4 linked regions of the Arabidopsis thaliana genome follow. The protein of the gene in region 2 interacts with the protein of the main gene of each other region in a pairwise test. Each region holds a gene or a part of one and is shown on either strand. Other genes may lie near its edges. The genes, in order: AT5G63710, CHAL, FUT13 and PIP2B.

Evidence for each region.
Region 1: the proteins of CHAL (region 2) and AT5G63710 interact in a protein complementation assay, tested with the Arabidopsis thaliana proteins (one large-scale study listed by BioGRID).
Region 3: the proteins of CHAL (region 2) and FUT13 interact in a protein complementation assay, tested with the Arabidopsis thaliana proteins (one large-scale study listed by BioGRID).
Region 4: the proteins of CHAL (region 2) and PIP2B interact in a protein complementation assay, tested with the Arabidopsis thaliana proteins (one large-scale study listed by BioGRID).

The regions. Positions count from the first base shown.
Region 1 is NC_003076.8:25,497,637-25,503,374, reverse strand, and holds AT5G63710 (Leucine-rich repeat protein kinase family protein), read right to left. Parts: upstream 3,865-5,738; 5' UTR 3,472-3,864; coding exon 3,456-3,471; intron 3,443-3,455; exon of another isoform or gene 3,352-3,442; coding exon 3,205-3,351; intron 3,127-3,204; coding exon 2,997-3,126; intron 2,911-2,996; coding exon 2,839-2,910; intron 2,763-2,838; coding exon 2,619-2,762; intron 2,525-2,618; coding exon 2,459-2,524; intron 2,370-2,458; coding exon 2,299-2,369; intron 2,227-2,298; coding exon 2,083-2,226; intron 1,995-2,082; coding exon 1,653-1,994; intron 1,576-1,652; coding exon 1,181-1,575; intron 1,098-1,180; coding exon 777-1,097; 3' UTR 544-776; downstream 1-543.
Region 2 is NC_003071.7:12,939,919-12,944,307, forward strand, and holds CHAL (allergen-like protein), read right to left. Parts: upstream 2,492-4,389; 5' UTR 2,272-2,491; coding exon of another isoform or gene 2,250-2,271; coding exon 2,072-2,249; intron 1,937-2,071; coding exon 1,844-1,936; intron 1,534-1,843; coding exon 1,358-1,533; intron 905-1,357; coding exon 659-904; 3' UTR 537-658; downstream 1-536. UniProt on the Arabidopsis thaliana protein: Acts primarily as positive regulator of inflorescence growth. Endodermal expression is sufficient for proper inflorescence architecture. Redundantly involved with EPFL4 in procambial development regulation.
Region 3 is NC_003070.9:27,098,353-27,102,832, reverse strand, and holds FUT13 (fucosyltransferase 13), read right to left. Parts: upstream 2,624-4,480; 5' UTR 2,489-2,623; coding exon 2,024-2,488; intron 1,560-2,023; coding exon 1,386-1,559; intron 1,303-1,385; coding exon 736-1,302; 3' UTR 541-735; downstream 1-540. Other genes in the region: AT1G71980 (Protease-associated (PA) RING/U-box zinc finger family protein), read right to left, coding at 2,952-3,541, 3,643-4,047, 4,120-4,350, 4,463-4,480. UniProt on the Arabidopsis thaliana protein: May be involved in cell wall synthesis. Catalyzes alpha-1,4 glycosidic linkages and generates Lewis-a epitopes.
Region 4 is NC_003071.7:15,612,820-15,616,913, forward strand, and holds PIP2B (plasma membrane intrinsic protein 2), read right to left. Parts: upstream 2,204-4,094; 5' UTR 2,102-2,203; coding exon 1,672-2,101; intron 1,551-1,671; coding exon 1,255-1,550; intron 1,164-1,254; coding exon 1,023-1,163; intron 925-1,022; coding exon 805-924; 3' UTR 549-804; downstream 1-548.

The sequences.
Region 1 (5,738 bases), on a different chromosome or scaffold from region 2:
AGGAGTTCTCTTTTTCACTGACCGCTTACGTCTGTCTCCGGTCCCATTCCTTGCCTCATCCTTCATTTAACGCACCCAAAGTACACAACACCAAAATTAACAATCTGTATTTTAATACCAGAGGATCTAGAGTTTAAGAATAAATCTTAATCCATGAAAGTTCTGTTCTTATGAATCTACACTCTGAATCCATGTCACTACAACAAAAACATCTAGATTTGTTTTGTTCTGTCACTGTATCATCCCTTCCAATAAATCACTAGTCTAATAATTTCATGAGATACATAGACTGGACAATTAGTTTTCTTGATAGTACATCATTTACAATCTAGAAACAAGAATACTCGACGTGCAGAAAAAAACAAGAATACTCGACGTAAAATTAGCCATAAACAATGTCACAAGTGGGGTAAATTGTTAGAATACAAAAGTTGAAGGTAAAATTGAAAAACCAACTAAACTTCAAGGACTGGATTCAGAAGTTTATAATTTTTACGGGACACACACGAAACGACGACGTATGTAGAAAAACAGAGCAAACACTGCCACCATAACAACCATGATCATCATTATCATACGAAAATAACCAAATTCATATATATACAAAACACAACTAGTTATGTATATCATATCATCTATTACACAAATCAACGTTGTGTGTTTGCTTCGTTTTCCCCACCTGGTTCAATACAATTAGCAGCTTAAAATACTTTCTAAGTTTATCTTCTGTAATGCAAGTTTGTTTTCATAGATATCTTTCTCTCTCTGTTTCTTCTTCATCTTGCTGTCGATAATCGGATAGATTCTTGATCAACGGTGGTTTCTTCTTCATCCCAAGTAGCCGGTAAAGTCGGAAGCAACAATGCTTCTTTGTTCCTAACTTCTTCAAGTTGTTCCCATTCAGTCCATTTCTCAGCCAAACCACCAGTCCCTTGAAGCATTTTGACCACTTCAGACATCGCTGGTCTATCTTCTGGTGAGCCTTGTGTGCAGAGAAGAGCCACTTGAACGATTGTTTCAACTTCTTTGGAGTCATATGTAGTCAAATTGCTATCAACAATGTCTCTAAGTCTCTGTTCTCTAAGCAACTTCTTTATCTGTTTCATACACATCCAACAACTTAAGATTAGTTTCAAGTCTTTTCAGATAGAAGAAAGCATGTAAAAGAAGTCAATCTTACATGATCAAGCAAGAGAATATTTTCCTCTTCTTCCAAGCGTGAAAAATCGATTGCGCGCTGACCAGTAACAAGCTCAAGAAGCGTTATACCGTAACCAAAAACATCGGTTTTTTCAGATGATTTTCCTGTGCAGAGATACTCTGGCGCAATGTGACCCATTGTGCCTCGGACTTGAGTTGTGACATGAGTCAGAGATGTGTCCACAAGCTTAGCTAAACCGAAATCTCCAAGAACTGGCTCAAAATTGTTGTCTAAAAGTATGTTTGCAGCCTTGAGATCGCGGTGTATGATCTTCGGGTTACAATGTTCGTGTAGATACTCTAAACCGTGAGCTGAACCAAAAGCTACACGCTTCCTTGTTGGCCAGTCTAATCCTTCCTCTCCCGCTTTCAAATCTACAATGTCACATATGTACACACACATTATAGAATCTATTATTTGGTTAAGTGATAGAGAAGCTAAGTATATATACCTCTTAGTCGATATGCAACACTAAGATTTTCCATGTATGGATAAACAAGGATTCTCTCAGAGGAAGTTGTGCAGAAGCCAATAAGGCGTAAGAGATTTTTATGAACCGCAACGCTTATGAGCTGAATCTCTCTTTGGAAAGCAGCTTCTCCTCCAGGACTGAAGTAATCCGCAAGGCGTTTCACTGCAACTTTTGTTTTGTCTGGAAGCAAACCTCTGTATACTTTACCAAATCCTCCTTGTCCTATCAAATTGCTCTCGTTGAAACTATCTGTTGCGAGCTGGATTTCACGTAAAGAGAATCGTTTTAGTTGTCCAAAGGAAATCTTCCTGTCATCTTCCCCTGCATTTTTTAAGGAAAAAGGATATTGGCTCAAGAGTTCATATTGATCTAATGAGATGTTTGACTATAAGTATATGTAACTTCTTACCAGCTACATCAAAAAAGATGTCGTATTTGGTTCTGCGGACGCGATGGTGATGATACATAACCATTGCTCCAAGGAATAAGATTATAGAAGCAACACAACTTGCAGTCAAAGTAATGTCTCTCAGCTTTTTCTTGGAGGATGTGACTGAACATAAAGATACTAAGTTAAGTCTTTCTGTTTGTATGTGAATTGGAGAAAGAAGAAATAATTAAGAACCTGGAAGACGAGAACTTGAAGAACAAGGCTGATTCAAACTTTTACCGCATATAAGCTGAGTTCCTGAAAAACTGCAGAAAAATCACAAAAACGTGATTATAGTACTGACAAGTCACTGTGACTAATTAGGTAGATTCATGAGGAAAATAGTTTTTTTTACTCGAATGTTGGGATTGAGAAGAATTGTGTTGGGATGCTTCCTGTTAAATTATTGGATGAGAGATCCCTGTGAATTAAATTTCAATGTTTTATCTTAGCCAAACGCTCTCACAGAGTCACATTTCAAAGATTGTTCCTAAAGAGTTTTTGAGTGGACTTACAAGTGCTTTAGATTCGAGAGCTGACTCCAGCTCGCTGGTATCGATCCGCTGAAACTATTCACTGATAGGTTTAAAGTCTGTAGATTAACCATGTTCCCAAGAGAATCTGGTAAGGCACCAGATAAACTATTGTTCTGTAACTCTCTGCATCAAGAACAATTACTATGAGTAATGGAACCTAAAAAGAAACTTGTAATGGAATTGGTTTATGATCTCTTACAAGGTAACCAAGAACTTCAGTTTTGTAATAGCTGGAGAGAGTGTTCCTGTGAATCCACTCGAGGCAAGATTTCTACAGATTGATACAAAACAAGTTTTTCAACATGATGAGAAATCTTGGTAACTAAAACTTGAGAAGTGATCTTTAAGAGTACTTACAGAGCCACAACACTCTGGCCTCTGCAGGTAACATAAGACCAACTATAGCAAGGGCTCACAAAATCGCGTGTCCATTTTAGACGATTGCTCGAATCATTAAGCGAATCTCTGAGCTGCAACAGAGCTCCTCCTAGCAAATGAATCAAGAAGCGAGTTAATACTACAAGATCATTAATGATTTATAAACAAAGGCTAATTATATATAGACCTTCGATATCTGGTTGAGTTGTTGACGAAGTGATTCCCACAAAAGCTAAGGCCATGAAACATTGTAAGATCAATTTCTGATTGTTCCATCTAAAGCAATTTCTTTGAATGAATCCTCGAAGAGGATCATGGAAACTTTCACCGTTCCCTGCAGTTTATTAAATCAGTCAATCTCAGTTTAAACAGCTTTTCTTTTCTGCTGCAGAATCTATAGTCTAAATTGCAGCAAATCGATGGAGAAAGTTAACTTACTATACAAGAAACACATAACTTGTGTGATCAAACTATGTTAACTAAACATAAGAAAGCAAAGAAAAGAAAAGACCGATTTGTGGGTCTAATTATGTCTTAAAAACTAACAGCTTTGATTGCTTTCTGATGTGAAACATTGTCAGATCAATCCATAACTCCTCTATCAGAGCTCATTTGAACCGAAAACATTAAGAAAAATGAAAGCTTATAAGTATCAAGAACAACAAAATTTATAATTCTGTCTTTGACTCTTTGCTTTGATGATCAAAAACCTCTCCGTTTCACCTAAATATGTACCAAATATTTTGTAACTCGAAACTAAAAGAAACAATAAAGTTATGTAAAATAAACAACAAAAACCAAGAAACCTAATTAATATACAATGGAGAAAGATAGGCATTAAAGTATAAGTAAAACAAAGCTTTTAAATACCCGAGTGAGCCATAGAGGAGCTGAAAACACTCTAAACGGAAGAGAACGAAAACATGGGGTTGAAGAGAGAAATGGAGGATTTGTATAATAATGAAGCCAATAAAAGCAACAATAATGTAAAATCATCTAAAGAAAGAGAAGTTAGTGCTTATAAAGGACCCACAAAAGGTATTTTTCATATTTTTATCTCTATGATGTAAAAAGAAGATGAAGAAATGCTGCTTTGAGAGAAAGAGAATCCCACTAAGTTGAAACATCTTTGATTTCTTAATGGAGGTGTATTTTTCCATCTTCTTTTGCTTCTTTATTTTGGGTGAGATCTCTTTTGCAAGTGTGTAACTTGGGATGTGATTGGGGCTAAAAAGGATATCAATTTTAACAAAAAAGGATATAGATGGCCCAAAATAAACATAAAGTAATAAAGAATGATTTAAACGAATTAGTAATAGAAAACAAACCAATGACTTAATTAAGAACTTAATAATGTTTGGGAAAATGGCTTATGCTTTAGGAAGAGACAGAAGCATGTGTAAGAAGGTTCCACACTTCCACTTGTTCGTGTTATATTACTCCACTATTCTGGACGATGACAATGCAAAAGGGCGTTTTTGTATATATTCCTTTCTTCTCTGACCTTCAAATCAAAGGATATGATACAAACTAAAATAGTTTTAACATAACCTATAACTATATATATATATATATATATTTAACTATCTGTTTTTGAGTAAATAAATTCAAACATTGAGAAGTTTACATTTTTAACATTTATAAGGTAAGTAATTGATCTTTTGATATCCTTTTAAAAAACAAAAAAAAAAACAAATTTAGTTACCGCCTTTCAAAAAAGACGTAGTAAAACATCAATGTTTAGAAAACTTTAGGTTATTTCCCTTAAGAGCTATGTTGAAACATCATGTAGAAATGTAGGCAGAAGAGAAAAAAAGATAGATATTTTTAATAGGAAAATTAGGTGAAGAAAAGAGAAAGAGAACATAATGTGAGGAAGAAGAGACTAAGAATATATACGGAATAATGATATCAATACTAATATGCTTGATTAGTTGGACATGTTCTTATGCTCCTCCCTTTATATGTTGTCATACGATTCTTCACCTTATTGAGACTTTTGTTCGATCTGCAAAAAGATCTGATGATCATATCTCAATCTAGAACGTATATTTCAAAAGTTAAATTTCATCAACATTCACAAATAAAACAAACTCAAATTTATTTTCTATTTTTATCAGGAAAAAATGAACTTAGGTAAGTGAGAAAAAAGCCTTCAGAGCAAAAAAAAAAGAAAGAAAGATAAATTTGAACATTGTGAAACCAAATGCCAGATTACTTTTCTTACTTATTAAAATCTTATAACTTGTAAATGATTTGTTCATAAAAATGTTATAATTAGTAAATTAATTTTAACAACAAATATCACTTATAATCCAAAATTTAGGTAAAGACAAAACTTGGTTCGATATCTTTTGTACTTGCGAGCATTGTACTTCCCGGTCACAAAACGCAATCGCTAAGTAAAAAAAAAAGGTCCATCTGAACGCAAGACTTATTCAATTTACGAAATAACCCCTATGAAACTGTGTTTAATGGACACGTGTCCTGGATACGATAGGGGTATAATAGAGACTTTAGGAAAGTAGAGGTTGGCGTTTGGGTGATTGGTCAAAGCGAATCCTTAAGAATCTAGTAATACTGACACAGGTCACTCAAACAGCTATTTATTTGGCTAATTTTCAGCCTTAATATCAGAATTAGAGAGATAAGTTTTTCTTCTTCTTGCTCTGTCGCCACTAACTAGGTCACCGCCAAGTAACATCGGATCGAGAGAGAGAG
Region 2 (4,389 bases):
GTCAATGACTGCGACTTTAAAGAAAAAAAATGACCGCGAGTCTGCGACTTTAAATCCTTCAAACTTTTATATATGGGCTATGTGTGAGTGGTGTAAGGTGTATTTGGATACGTAATACGTTATACGTTAGCATATGTTTTCTTGAATATTATCAGTGTGTACGAATAGATTAAATTGAACGAGCTGAGACTACAGAATTTAAATGAAATCAACGAGTCCCGCAGACAGATGTTAATAGTTTACTTATATGTATATGCTAAGAGTAATGTTATTGGGCTTTTGGTTTATTTATGTTAGTCCATATGTTTATGAGCCTAAACCTATGTGATACTTATTAGAAAGCGAGTACGTTTTTTTATTTTTTGTTCATTATAAGCAAGTACGTTGAAGAAGAAGACAAGAAATATGTTTCCTTTTGACACCAAATGTTGATATTATTCATGAATTATGTCACCATATACGAAATCATATGCTAAGAACGTCATATCGTCTATACGAGCATCATCAATCAATTTATCAGCAAAAGTTTCACGTTGAGGTTGTCCTAGCAACATGTCAATGTATAATAAATATTTGGAGTAGAGGCAAGATATAACTACGAACATGCATATAATTCATATATATAATGTATATATGTGAGTATATATATTATAAAAGATCATGGCATGTACAACTTGTTGCCGCACTTGCATCTCCAAGCTTCCGGGTAGTATTCGGCGGTGACAGGCGTGCCGGGAGGCACCGGAACGTGAACAGGCTTGCACGGAGTGCATCTTCCACACTTGGAGGAGCACCGTGGTGGAGATGAGCCCAATCCCCTTAGAATCCTCCGTAGCTCTGCCTCCTTGCTCCGGTCACCGATCTTCCTAGTCTTCTTTATCACTACGGTACTCTTGCCTTCCTCCTGAACACATACTCAAAACGTACATATTATCACATTTTTCATTACTAAATATATATTCAAACGTATACATATCCTAATTTATTATTTTCTTCATTAGGATAATACATCTAGTAAAACAAACCAAACAATATGGTTAATCAAGAATAATTAGTATTTTCTAATTAACGTTCAATAATTAGTATCTTCTAGTGAACTCAATTTCAGCTGCTATCAACATAAGATAGTGAGAGGACTGCGTTACTAACGTGCGATTTCATGCTGACATACGCATATTATTGTTAAAATGCGCAGTTTAGGTAAAAAACATTTTTAAGACAGGGTTGGGGATGTGAGACAAGACGCGGGAAAACCGCTCCGGAAAAAGCGCTACGCACATTACCAAAAAGGGCAGAGAGATTGAGAAGTTCCAAGAGCCTGTCATACGTTAACGTGCACCGTGGGGGCTAATATTACCACTCGATCGAGATCGTAAGCAAGGCAGGGTCCCACGAGTGGTGAACGAACCAAAAGTTGAGTACTGTCCTTGTCCTCGTGTGCGCTGAAACCAATCCGACGGCTGAGAATTTCTTTAGGAGTACATGGCATCTCTGCATGCCCAGTCAGTCTCGACATGCCGTCACAGTCGCTGACTGTTCAAGCGCAGTTTAGCCACAACCCTTTTGTTTGTGTAGTCCTTTTAGAGAACCCCGCATTATAAGCTTATATTATTTATGGAAAAAAAAAAAAAAGCTTATATTATTTTTAAAGTGTGTTTAATGATGAATCAACATCAATCTTGTCCTCCAAAGATGCTTGAATCAGGAGAAAATAGAAACTAAGCTTTTTTTGGATTTTATGTGGTTATAGTTATGCCAAAAAAAAGGAAGTTAACACGGTTTTTGATTCCTATTTCCTAACTAATTGTTGACTCAACAGCAAAAAAACAAAAACAATTGTTACTTGTTAGATCACGCAAGAGAGTAAGAGGTATAAACAGTTTACGAACCTTTGCATAGAAGTTCCCTAGTGTCCCAGAGTTAGAATTCCTATTATCTGCATTTTTACAACAAGATAATATATGAATGGTACTGTAATAATTTATGTTACGTAACCAAAAATATTCTAAGATATTAATGTTTGAGAAAGTTGATAATTAATATGATAACGAGAAAAAGAAAGATGGCTTACATGGAGAAGAAGTCGAAGTGGGAGTTATAGTGAAGGTGGCAATGACACAGAGGACGAAGAAGAGTAGCAATAAATAGAAGAGACTGAACTTGGCTCTCGTGTTTTCTGATGGTTGTAATGATGATGGTAATGATGATGATAATAATGATAATGATGATGATGTTCTCTCGAAACCCATAATTACGAAACTTTCTGAAAACCTAAGAAGAGGCTAGCAGAGATTAGTTATGATCTCCTCATCCATGCGAAAAAAAAAACTTGGTGGGTTTTTAAAAAACTTGAGATGAAAATGGAAATCAAGAAAAGATTATTGAAAAGGAATATTGAATGTCTTTTGGTTTTTATGATTTGGGTTTTCTCAAAAAACGAGAGTGAGTAGTGGGAGTGGTTGAGAGTGAGAAAGAGCAAATGGAGTCGACTATGAGAGATAGAACAAGGAGGGGTTAACTGCAAAAATGTGTGATTAAATATGGAAATTTATATATAAAAGGATAATAAGAAAAGAAATAAGAAGATAAAATAGTATATGAGTGGGAAATGAGAGAAAGAGTGTAAGAAGAGAGAAGTAATTAAGAAAGGTACCTAAGCATTGCTAAGTTTGGGAGTTAGATTCTCCTGCACCCTATTCTCTCTGTCATTGTACCCTTCCTTTCACCAGAAATTGCTTTTAGCAATCTTCCAAGCTATACATATATATACACATACACACTCATATGTTTATCTATTGTATATTTTATATGTAGTTATATTTCTTGATTAAGTTCTTTCATATGCATGTGTGTAGGGTTTAACATATCATAAGTACTCAAGATTAGGGTTTCACTTAGTTTATTATTATTGTTGGGGGGGGGGGGGGGGAAATGACTGCTTGGTAGAAACTTAAAAAAAAAAATCATAATTAAGGTAGAGAGATGAGAGGTGATTGATTTGAAGAGAGATGAGTAAGGGAGGGCCGTAGGATGATATATGAGTTTGATTCTAAAGGCAAGGAGGTATGGACAAAACATCCCAACAAATGTGTAAGAAGGGTTCCATGTTCATTCCTAAATTACACATTTATATATGTAGTTTTAACAATAACTTTTTACTCCTATCAATTCAAGCAAAGGTTATATACTAAAGATTCTTAATAGTATAAATAGAAAAAACAATAACTGTTGAAACGGTACTAAATATATATATAAAAATGGCAAACAAGTTGCAGTATAAACTTTTAACAATGGGATTAGTAAATTCTTTTTTTTTTTTAATTCTAAAAGAAAGCTATTAGACAACAAAATATTTAATGATTTTAGCATGAAGCATGAGAGAAACTAATATTTTGGAAAAATTTATAGGTTATCAAATGTACATATATCAATGCTTCAAAATTTCTTGTTACGTTTGACAATACCATTTTTATGCGGTCTAGATTATGCAACAATATAATCATCCTAATACCAAATATTTTATTTTTATGTTGAATTGGTAATATTATATCTAGTGTTGGTAGAATACGTCTGATTACAACTATACAATTGAACGTTCGTGAGGACATAGTGAACCACAACTGAAAAAATTGTGTAAAATTAATGGTTCATATGATCATATCTAATATACTAGTTTTGTGATTGGTGGAGGGAAAGAAATCAAAGGTAACATGCCCAACAAAGCTGTCTCGCCTTAAGTTTCTATAAAACAAAATCTGAAAGTTTTTTTTTTGTTACAATTAACGGAGTTCAAAAAAAAAAAAAAAATAGAGCTCAAAATGTGACATAACCATTAGTCCATTAGAAAGAAACTTAAGATGAAGAGAAGTAATATAAAATGTTAAACAAAATCCCATATGTTCTTTACATATATATAGGTTTTTGATTTACATTTTATATTCTTAAACTATAATTTTGTTATAACTAAAGGCTATGTCTCTTAAAATTATTTCTTTGATCATGTGTCGAGAAATATTAATTCTGACGTGGGTTTAGAAGCTTTTTTGTACATTTAAGATTGTGTGATATTAGATCGGACAATATCAATTTTTTTTTGTTTTATTTTTCTTGATTAAGTTATTTGGAAACCCCAAAACATAGCTGATAGCCTTGAAAGAAAGCGAAATTTCCATTGTTGATTGATCACTTAAACATAACCATCAATTTAAAATCTATATAAAAAAGAATCACTATATTCAACCGTAATAGCCTTAGTAAAGGGGTCATTCTTTCGGATTAACATCGATTTTTGGTTGTTTTTTCCCTTTATCTCCACCAACATAAACCGTCGCTGATGAAGACTCTTCAAGCAACATTTTTTTTTCAAATTAAAAACACGTTCGAACGAGA
Region 3 (4,480 bases), on a different chromosome or scaffold from region 2:
GATTTCTTTCTTCTTATGCACTTCTTGTGCATATTTGTTATGTATATGATGGTTTTATAGAAAATTTTGTTTGATTAGCCTAAAAATCTGATCTCATATTTCTTTCCTAAAGCTGTTAATAGATAATACCAGAAGACCCATGTATGAATTTGATGTACCAAATGATTTTATGACCTACACGTTTGTCTATGTAATTAATTTATTTTTTCCATTCTCTATTTTACTACTAACATAATATCTTTGATTATCATTAAAAAAAAAAAAAAAAAATTATCTTTCTTTCTTCTAAGATTTTACGGTGATAAAAATGTGACAATAATCTGAATTTTGATGTCTCTTTGTCATACTTATACAGACGTTTTGAAACAATCGAAACTTTAATTCACCCAATATTTTGAATGGTTTTAGTTTTGATAAGTTTTAAATGATTCTGATTATTGTAGGTAAATATAGGAAAGTGGTTATGACTTGATTTTTGTCCTTTTTAACTTAGTCTACACAATCACAATCATAATCTATTTTGAATTTTTGATTAAGGAAAAGCTACACCAAGAGATCCCATTTAACTCTAACATAAGTGAATAATTCTGTTTTTGTCCCTTGAACACATGATTTGATAGCATTTACTTGATGATCTGAGACTATATAGGACAAAAAAGTTATCATATGTAACAGAAACAGATCATAGGATCACATTTACATAAACCCACACTAAATGAAACCACATGTGGCTCATCAAACTCCGGCGTTCTTCCCACCTCTTCTGCTAATCTCTTCGCACAACCGACATGGCAATGTATCGAGACTCACCGCACGGGTTTTCCCGTAGTTCCCCATTAGTCCACACCGCCTCCACGCATGGTACTCTGAGTAAGCCACAGGATCATCACCGAGCCGCTTCACGTACGCAGCCAACTCCTGCATCGAGCCGAATTTGCTACCATCGATCACGGAATGCGGAGGGACAAAGTCTTGCACGTTAGAGGCCCCAAAATAGATTGGAACAGAACCAGAGTCGAGCGCATAGAAAAGCTTCTCGGTCACGTATGACTCAACAGCTGTGTTTTCGATTGCAAGGACGAATTTGTAGTGTGACATAGCGCAGTGGAGGTGATCGTACCATTTTGCTTCAGCGTTGTGCTCAGCGACACATTCTGGATACATAGAGAGAGCTGAGTCCAAGCCACCAACATTGTTAAGACACTTACCAAAGGAGTGGTGGGGAATCAAATCGAGTAGGCTCTTTGCTAGACGATCTCTGTGAGGGAGGCATCTTGAGGAAGACCAATACACCAGAACATCCTGTGCAATGTTTAACAATCGAATTAAAAAACGATGAAATGAAAGAAGAACAGTATGGAATGGGTGTATAAAACGTTACTTACATTGTTTTTATGTGGAGAGATGTGATAGTTTCTGTTATTATGAAAGAGCGAACCGGCGTAAGTTGTTTGGACATCGTCTTTCGCATGGTAGCTGATGAATATATCTTCACGGCCTGAGCGTTTTCTTCCGGCCTCTAGCTCCATGTACACACGGAGCGGATCTCCAACACGTCTCTAAGGAAACAAACCAAGAAACTCAGCATCAATGGGATCCAATTATTGAAAGAAAACTATAGTGAAGCAGGCACTGAAGGGAAAATAAGAACATAGGAGATTTTAGTTTGCCTTTATTATCCATATCTATGTCCAACTTTCAAAAATGAATTGACTAAGAACAAGAATAGCAGTACACAAAGATTCTTCTGGTTTACAATAAGCTCACGTAGACAATTAAACTCTGAAATTTTCCACTTTACAAACCAAAATTCTTGAACCATATAGACAACAATGAAAAAGTATCTTTTAGTGAGTCATAGAACTAAAAGATCTGCTAGAGTGAAGAATACATCACAAGATCACATCCAATTTGGGGTAAGAAAAAACAGACAGTGTGATCTAATCTGTCCCAATCATCCAAATCTATAACTACTTTCCAAAACGCAAACTTTGACAAGATTAGCAACAAGCAATTTTATTACCTGTAGTGGAGGAGTTGTTGTCTCGAACAACAAAGCATCAGGTGAATCAGCCAAAACCGATGATTTAGTCCACAAACAAGTCATCCCACAACGACAAGAATACAAATTTTCCAAATTATCCGGAATCCAAGTCCACCCTTTAACCAATACCTTAACATGCTTCATCTTAAGCTTACCACAACCAAATTCTTGTAAAGAACCCGAACTAACATTACCCAAAATCGCATCTTTATGATTCTCCCTAAACCGAGCACAACCCACTTCAAAGTCCCATTTTTTATAAGCTACAAGAACATCACTGAATGGATCCGATGTTGAATCAGACAATTTCGGTTCCGGGTCTATTGAATGCTCCATCGAAGTTGAAGCAGATGGGAATTCTAAAATGCCTGTGAAAGAGAGGATCAAGAGAGTAAAGAACATCATTAGTAGAGCGGCCATTGCGTTGAGGTATCTCATTGGCATGGTGTGATTGATTCCTTAAACCACCGGAGATCCTCAACGACGCCGGAGGAGAATAGACCGGCCAACGGTGGGATGGAGTTTTCTTCATTCACTTTAGCCCAAATCAGTTTATGTTACTGGACCTTAATTAGGCCTACTGGGCCTATTTACTAGATAGGATCGTATCAATGCAAACGGATAGAGATAAGAGTGATCAGATAGTAATAACAAGGAAAGAGACGTGTATATACATAAGCTCATATTTCTTTGTACAAAGGAACCGAGTTTGTGTAATTGTCGAAGTGTTAAAATCTCTCTAACCTAAATCCGATGATGTTTCATCTCAACCAAAAGACTATAAAAGCATCGTTACACACACACACACCACACACAAACGCCAGAAGTACGTTTCGTAGTAAAACTCAAATGCAAAAGAAATAATCTTATATGACCTGAACCAAGAGTGGTTGGTTCTGTAGACTTTCTAACAGTCTGGAAGCGAGTTTGCAGAGGCGTATGGAGAGAAAGTTCCAGCTGATTCACTGTAACGCAGTGGATTCAACGGATAATTCGATGATCCAGCCATTGCAGGTGATGCATTGCTCGGGCTAGGTCTATACGGTGACATGTACCTCGTGTTGAAAGGGGAGATAGTTGGGTAACCTAGTGACTGTGGAGAAGCCATATGGGAAATGTATGATCTCTGTGATGGTGATGGAGATGGAGAAGCTGCTTGTTGTCTGAGATCCACTGAGCTTCGACTTACGCTTATTGGAGGTGATCGACGGTTAGAGGAAGACTGGAATGATTGTCTAATATAGGATGAGCTTGCGTATGCGGGAGAGAAAGAGATTGAAGTTGGTAATGAGCCCAAGGAAGGACCAATCAATAGTGCAGATGATCTGACTGAAGAGTGCAGAGAGGAAGAAGTGAAAGACGATGCAGCAGATGAGAGCAATGGCGTGCTCTCTGAAGCTGGAGGCTCTCCCGTGCTCGTTCTTGCATCTCGTTTGCACACCGGACAGAAAGTTCTCCAAGAGGTTAACCATGAGTCAACACACGCAGCATGAAACTCTGAAAACATACACACAAAAACAGAATCAGAAATTGTTAGTTAGTTCTAAGTTCTAACAAATGTGCCCTGAGTTACAGGATTTTGTATACAATGTACTCACTGTGACAGCAAGGTAAGAGCCTGAGCTTGTCTCCAACAGTGTAGTCTTCAAGGCAAATAGCACAAGTGAATGCAGTAGTGTTATCTTCATGAAACGAACTGAATATAAGACTCGGCATTGCTTTCACCAAGCGGCGGCTCATACCGTGAAACTCACGCACTCGAGAGGACCGAGATGTCCGCCTTCTTATTCGATGCCTACGCACAAAGAAACAAGTAGCGAGAACAGCCGACATTGCAAGCAGCGAGATAAACGAAACCGCCATAATAGACCACGCCGAGTTCTCAAAACTTGGGATCAACCAAACTTTCGTATCGGGGAAACCCGCATACTCCTTTAAAACTTCTCCCGTTTCTTTCGTAACAAAGACCGCATGAATCCTTATACCTCCAGAGTTACCTGCCACTGCAAATCTCAAAACTTTCAGCAAAATGTAGAAACAACAGAATCACAAGATCAAGACATAAATTTTCATACTTGCTATCAATGTTCCACGGTCTTCATTGTCATAGATAATAGCAGCTTTGAAACCAGCTCTCTGAGCTTTTCTAACTTTCTCTTCAAAACTACAGCCTCCTCTAACAATCAACACAAAAGGAGAAGTTTCATTGGAGCTCTGTTCTGGTTTATTCATAAGATTTTGACAAGCGTCAAGAGGCTCAGCCACATAAACCACTCCAATTTCACCTGTACCCTTCACTGACGGAGCTGTTGCAAGAAACAGATTAAAAATCTCTTCTTTTTTATGCGTTGACCCCAATTACAGATTCAATTCATCAAAAATCTGAAATGAAAACAGAGTGATAAGGAAGAGACTCACCGAAGTTAGCTTCGATGT
Region 4 (4,094 bases), 2.7 Mb from region 2:
AAACTGTTACGAAATTTTTAAAGTTTTCCTATTATTGTTTCGATTTATGTAAAACCCTGATTTTGGTCTTGAGGCACATTTTTTGGATAATCTACATTGGATTAAAGAAATTTCGAAGTTTTTGTCTGTATGACCATCTATAGGTTTTTAATATTTTGTTCACGCTCTTCTTGATATTGTTATTTCTGAAAATGACGTTTGTATACTTTAAGTAAAGTGACGCAAATTAGTTGTTGAACCAACAGCTTTCCTGCGTAAGCTCTCGTTACAAATTCTATGAGCTTAAACTAGTGAGTGGAATGTCAACTCAAAACTAAGTGTTCAACAAAATTCGTTTTTGGTGTAGATTAATTGAATTTGAGACGATCTTACCAATTGACTTGTGCTTTAGTTGTTGTTTAATTAGGTGATGGCGACAAGCTGACAAAAAAGTGCCAAACACATAAGTTTTTGTTCTGTCTTAATCCTCTTCAGTGGAGGATAATTTAAATCACATGAACTTATAAATTATAACTATTAATGTAGTCTATGTAGATATGCTTTTAGCTGGTAATATCATCTGTATAAAATAAAAAGAGGGAGGAGAAGGCAAAACAATTTGGTTTTCATTAATTGTTTTCCCGAGTACACAAACATTGGCATTGGCACATATCAAAGTATTACACCACAATGAAAACAGAAAAACAAGAAGAAATATAGTGCATAGTTTTACAAGCAAAGTTGCCAATTTTTGTACATACATAATAACACAACCATTTTGTAATTGTTGTTATTATGATAGGTTTTTTTTTGTGTGGCAAAAACTCAAACGTTGGCTGCACTTCTGAAGGATCCAAGTGACTTGGAACCTGAAGCCCTTAGGACAAATTGGTGATAAAATGCAGCTATCGCAGCTCCAATGAATGGTCCCACCCAGAATATCCACTGTATTTAGATAGACCAAAAAAACAGTTCATTATTTTCCCATCAAACAATAGTCCATAATTTGATTAATTTTAAATAATTAAGAAATAGAAACGTACGTGGTCATCCCATGGCTTGCTCTTGTTATAGATTACGGCAGCTCCGAAACTCCTAGCCGGGTTGATGCCGGTTCCGGTGATCGGAATAGTGGCCAAATGTACCATAAACACCGCAAACCCAATCGGAAGTGGCGCCAAAACCTTTCGTTTCATAATTCATAACACTAAGTATTAATTAATGTTATCGTATGTTACCAGAACGATCTTATAACTGATAGAAATAAATACTAACCGGAACGTGGGAGTCTCTAGCGTTACGTTTGGGATCAGTAGCGGAGAAGACTGTGTAGACGAGAACGAATGTTCCAATGATCTCTGCGGCTAGTCCGGTGCCTGTGTTGTAGCCGTCTGCTAGAGAGTTGGCTCCTCCACCGTAACGATCATAGTAAGAGCTTTGAAAGGCTTTGACGAAACCAACTCCACAAATAGCACCCAAACACTGAGCCACCATGTAAAGCACCGCCCTAATCAGCGATACCTTCCGGGCTAAGAACAAACCAAACGTCACCGCAGGGTTTATGTGACCACCTACAAAGTTCTTGGGGTTAATTTCAAATAAATTACAAAACAAAGGACAAATTTGAAAGGTCCACAAATGTTAAATTTTCTGAACCGGGTAATAAACCGGACCGGTTTCGATATATGATACCTGAGATACCGGCGGTGCAGTAGACAAGGATGAAGATCATGCCACCAAAAGCCCACGCGATGCCAAGGATTCCGACGCCGCCGCAGTCAACTCCACCGGCTTTTGTGTCGGACTGAATCTTGTAACCGATGACAGTTAAAACGGTGATGTACAAGAAGAGGAGAGTGGCTACGAACTCGGCAATGACGGCTCTGTATAAAGACCACTTGGTAAGCTCGTCCGCATCGAAAAACGGAGTTGGTGGCGGATCTTCGTAGTCTCTTGTCTGAAATCCCTCAGGTCCTTCCACGTCTTTGGCCATTTCTATAACTTTTTTTGTTATATATGAAAGTTGTGTTTTGTATTGTGGATATGTTGTGTTTGTGAAGACTGAAGAGACGAATGAAAGTTGTTTATATAGAGAGACTATAGCTATAGTGAGTGCTCTCATTAATTTTGCTTGTCAATATACGTTAATAATTGTATACGTGTTATTGATTGATTATATTACGATAATGTTTTCCTTTTGGTAGGCTTATGGTTGTTTTTATTATTCGTTTCAATGAAATGAATATAGAATTGTGTGTATGACGATTATGATTATTTTTGTGGAAACTTTCTTTCACTAATTAATTACCTAGCTAGCTGTCATGATGATATATAATCTAAACCAATCTAATCATTGCTACATAATCAATAGAAACTGATTTTGCTTAATATATTCATGTTCCACTGTTTTTTTTTTGTTTAAGCAGAATTTCCATATACATTAGTATAATTAACTGATGATAGTAAGAATTAGCTACTGCTAAGAGTTTTTCATCTCAATTAGTGTTTGTCATAATATGATAGTTAAGGTATTGTTTTGTTGACAAAATTAACTATAACTAAATTATTATTATTTTGGTTTCAACTTCAACTATTGATACAAATCTGTAACTAAAGATGAACTTATTTGAGATTCTGATTATTTAAAAGAATGATTGTGGAGCTATCAATAGGAACAGAGACCTTTTAATTCTAAAATTATGGTTGATAATGGAGTTTTGTGGTTAATTTAACTTAGCCTCGCCGCCCCATACCTAAACGTTGTTTTCATTTGGACCGACCCTAATATACTATATGCTTCTATATTTTTCTTTCTCTTGTCCTATGTCATGAGCCTTGTCCTCCCCCTAGAATAATATAGACTGTCACTCTTTTACACATAAAATAAATAAAAAATATGAAGTTATGAACCTTATCTATTTGGGCAATACTTGAAAGTTGTTACTTGTTAACGATAAAGCTTTTTGAACTACGAGATAGCTAGATTGATCAATAGTAAAATTTCTGATTATCTAGATTCTATCATCCTTCATTTAATTTCTAGAAGGAGCTCCTTATATAGTTATACTAGTTCTTATGCATGTAATTAGTAACGATTAAATTGACTTCCTATGCTCTTAACGTTACAAATCAAATCTATTAGGTGGATAAAAAAGAGTCTTTTGATAGCTCTCAGCTAACCCTACCATATAACAAAAACATAATTTATCACATGGACATGATAAAAGAAACGGCGTCGCTTCACGGGTTATGTTTCCACTAAAGTAGAAAATATGATGAAAGTTGGGTCCACTGGACCGGAGAAACCGCCCCATATAGAATTGATTAGCTCCGTCAATTGCATCGGCACCGTCCATACAGATTAAGTCCAACTCCAGTTCAGCCGTCCCAACCACTCCTCTTATGCCACGTTGTTTAGTCCCCATATTCAACAATCATTTGCTCTCACTCCTCAATTCCAAATTTCCAATTGCAATTTTCTTACGTATATTATTCAGTATTCACTAATCACTAGTCTGTCTACAAAAATAAATTGGAAAAATAAAAAGTGTACATAGACAAAAGGAATGTGGTGTAATGTGGTGTTCATGGCCAATGTTTTGCCACGTCACAATATCCTTATCGTTGTAGCGACATTTCTCTGCTCTTATTGGATTATATTTCCACGTCAGAAAGGTGCTCTCTCTCTCTCGGTCTCTCCCCTGGTTTTATTTTTGTTTTCTTTCATCTTTGTCGCTTTCTGTTTTGTTAAAGAATTGTCTACTCGATATTGGTTACGAATGGTATTGTTCTCTGTGGAAAAATGGGTTAATTTGTTATGATAAACATTTTTTGTTCCAAACAAATAAATGTTCTTTCATTTCATAGTAAATTTTTTAGTCTTCTGAACACACGTATATATATGCTTGCTAACAATGAATCCACAATAACAGATCATAAAATTACATCTGACTCATATGTAATTCTATCATGATATGTTGAGTCAATATATAGTCGATGGAGTATATATAGAGTTATAATTTGATTGTAGTGTCCTATGACAGATTTAACACTCAGCTTACACCGAAAAAGTTAAGTCTCAAATAAATTACGTATTTATGCGTTATTTAACTTAT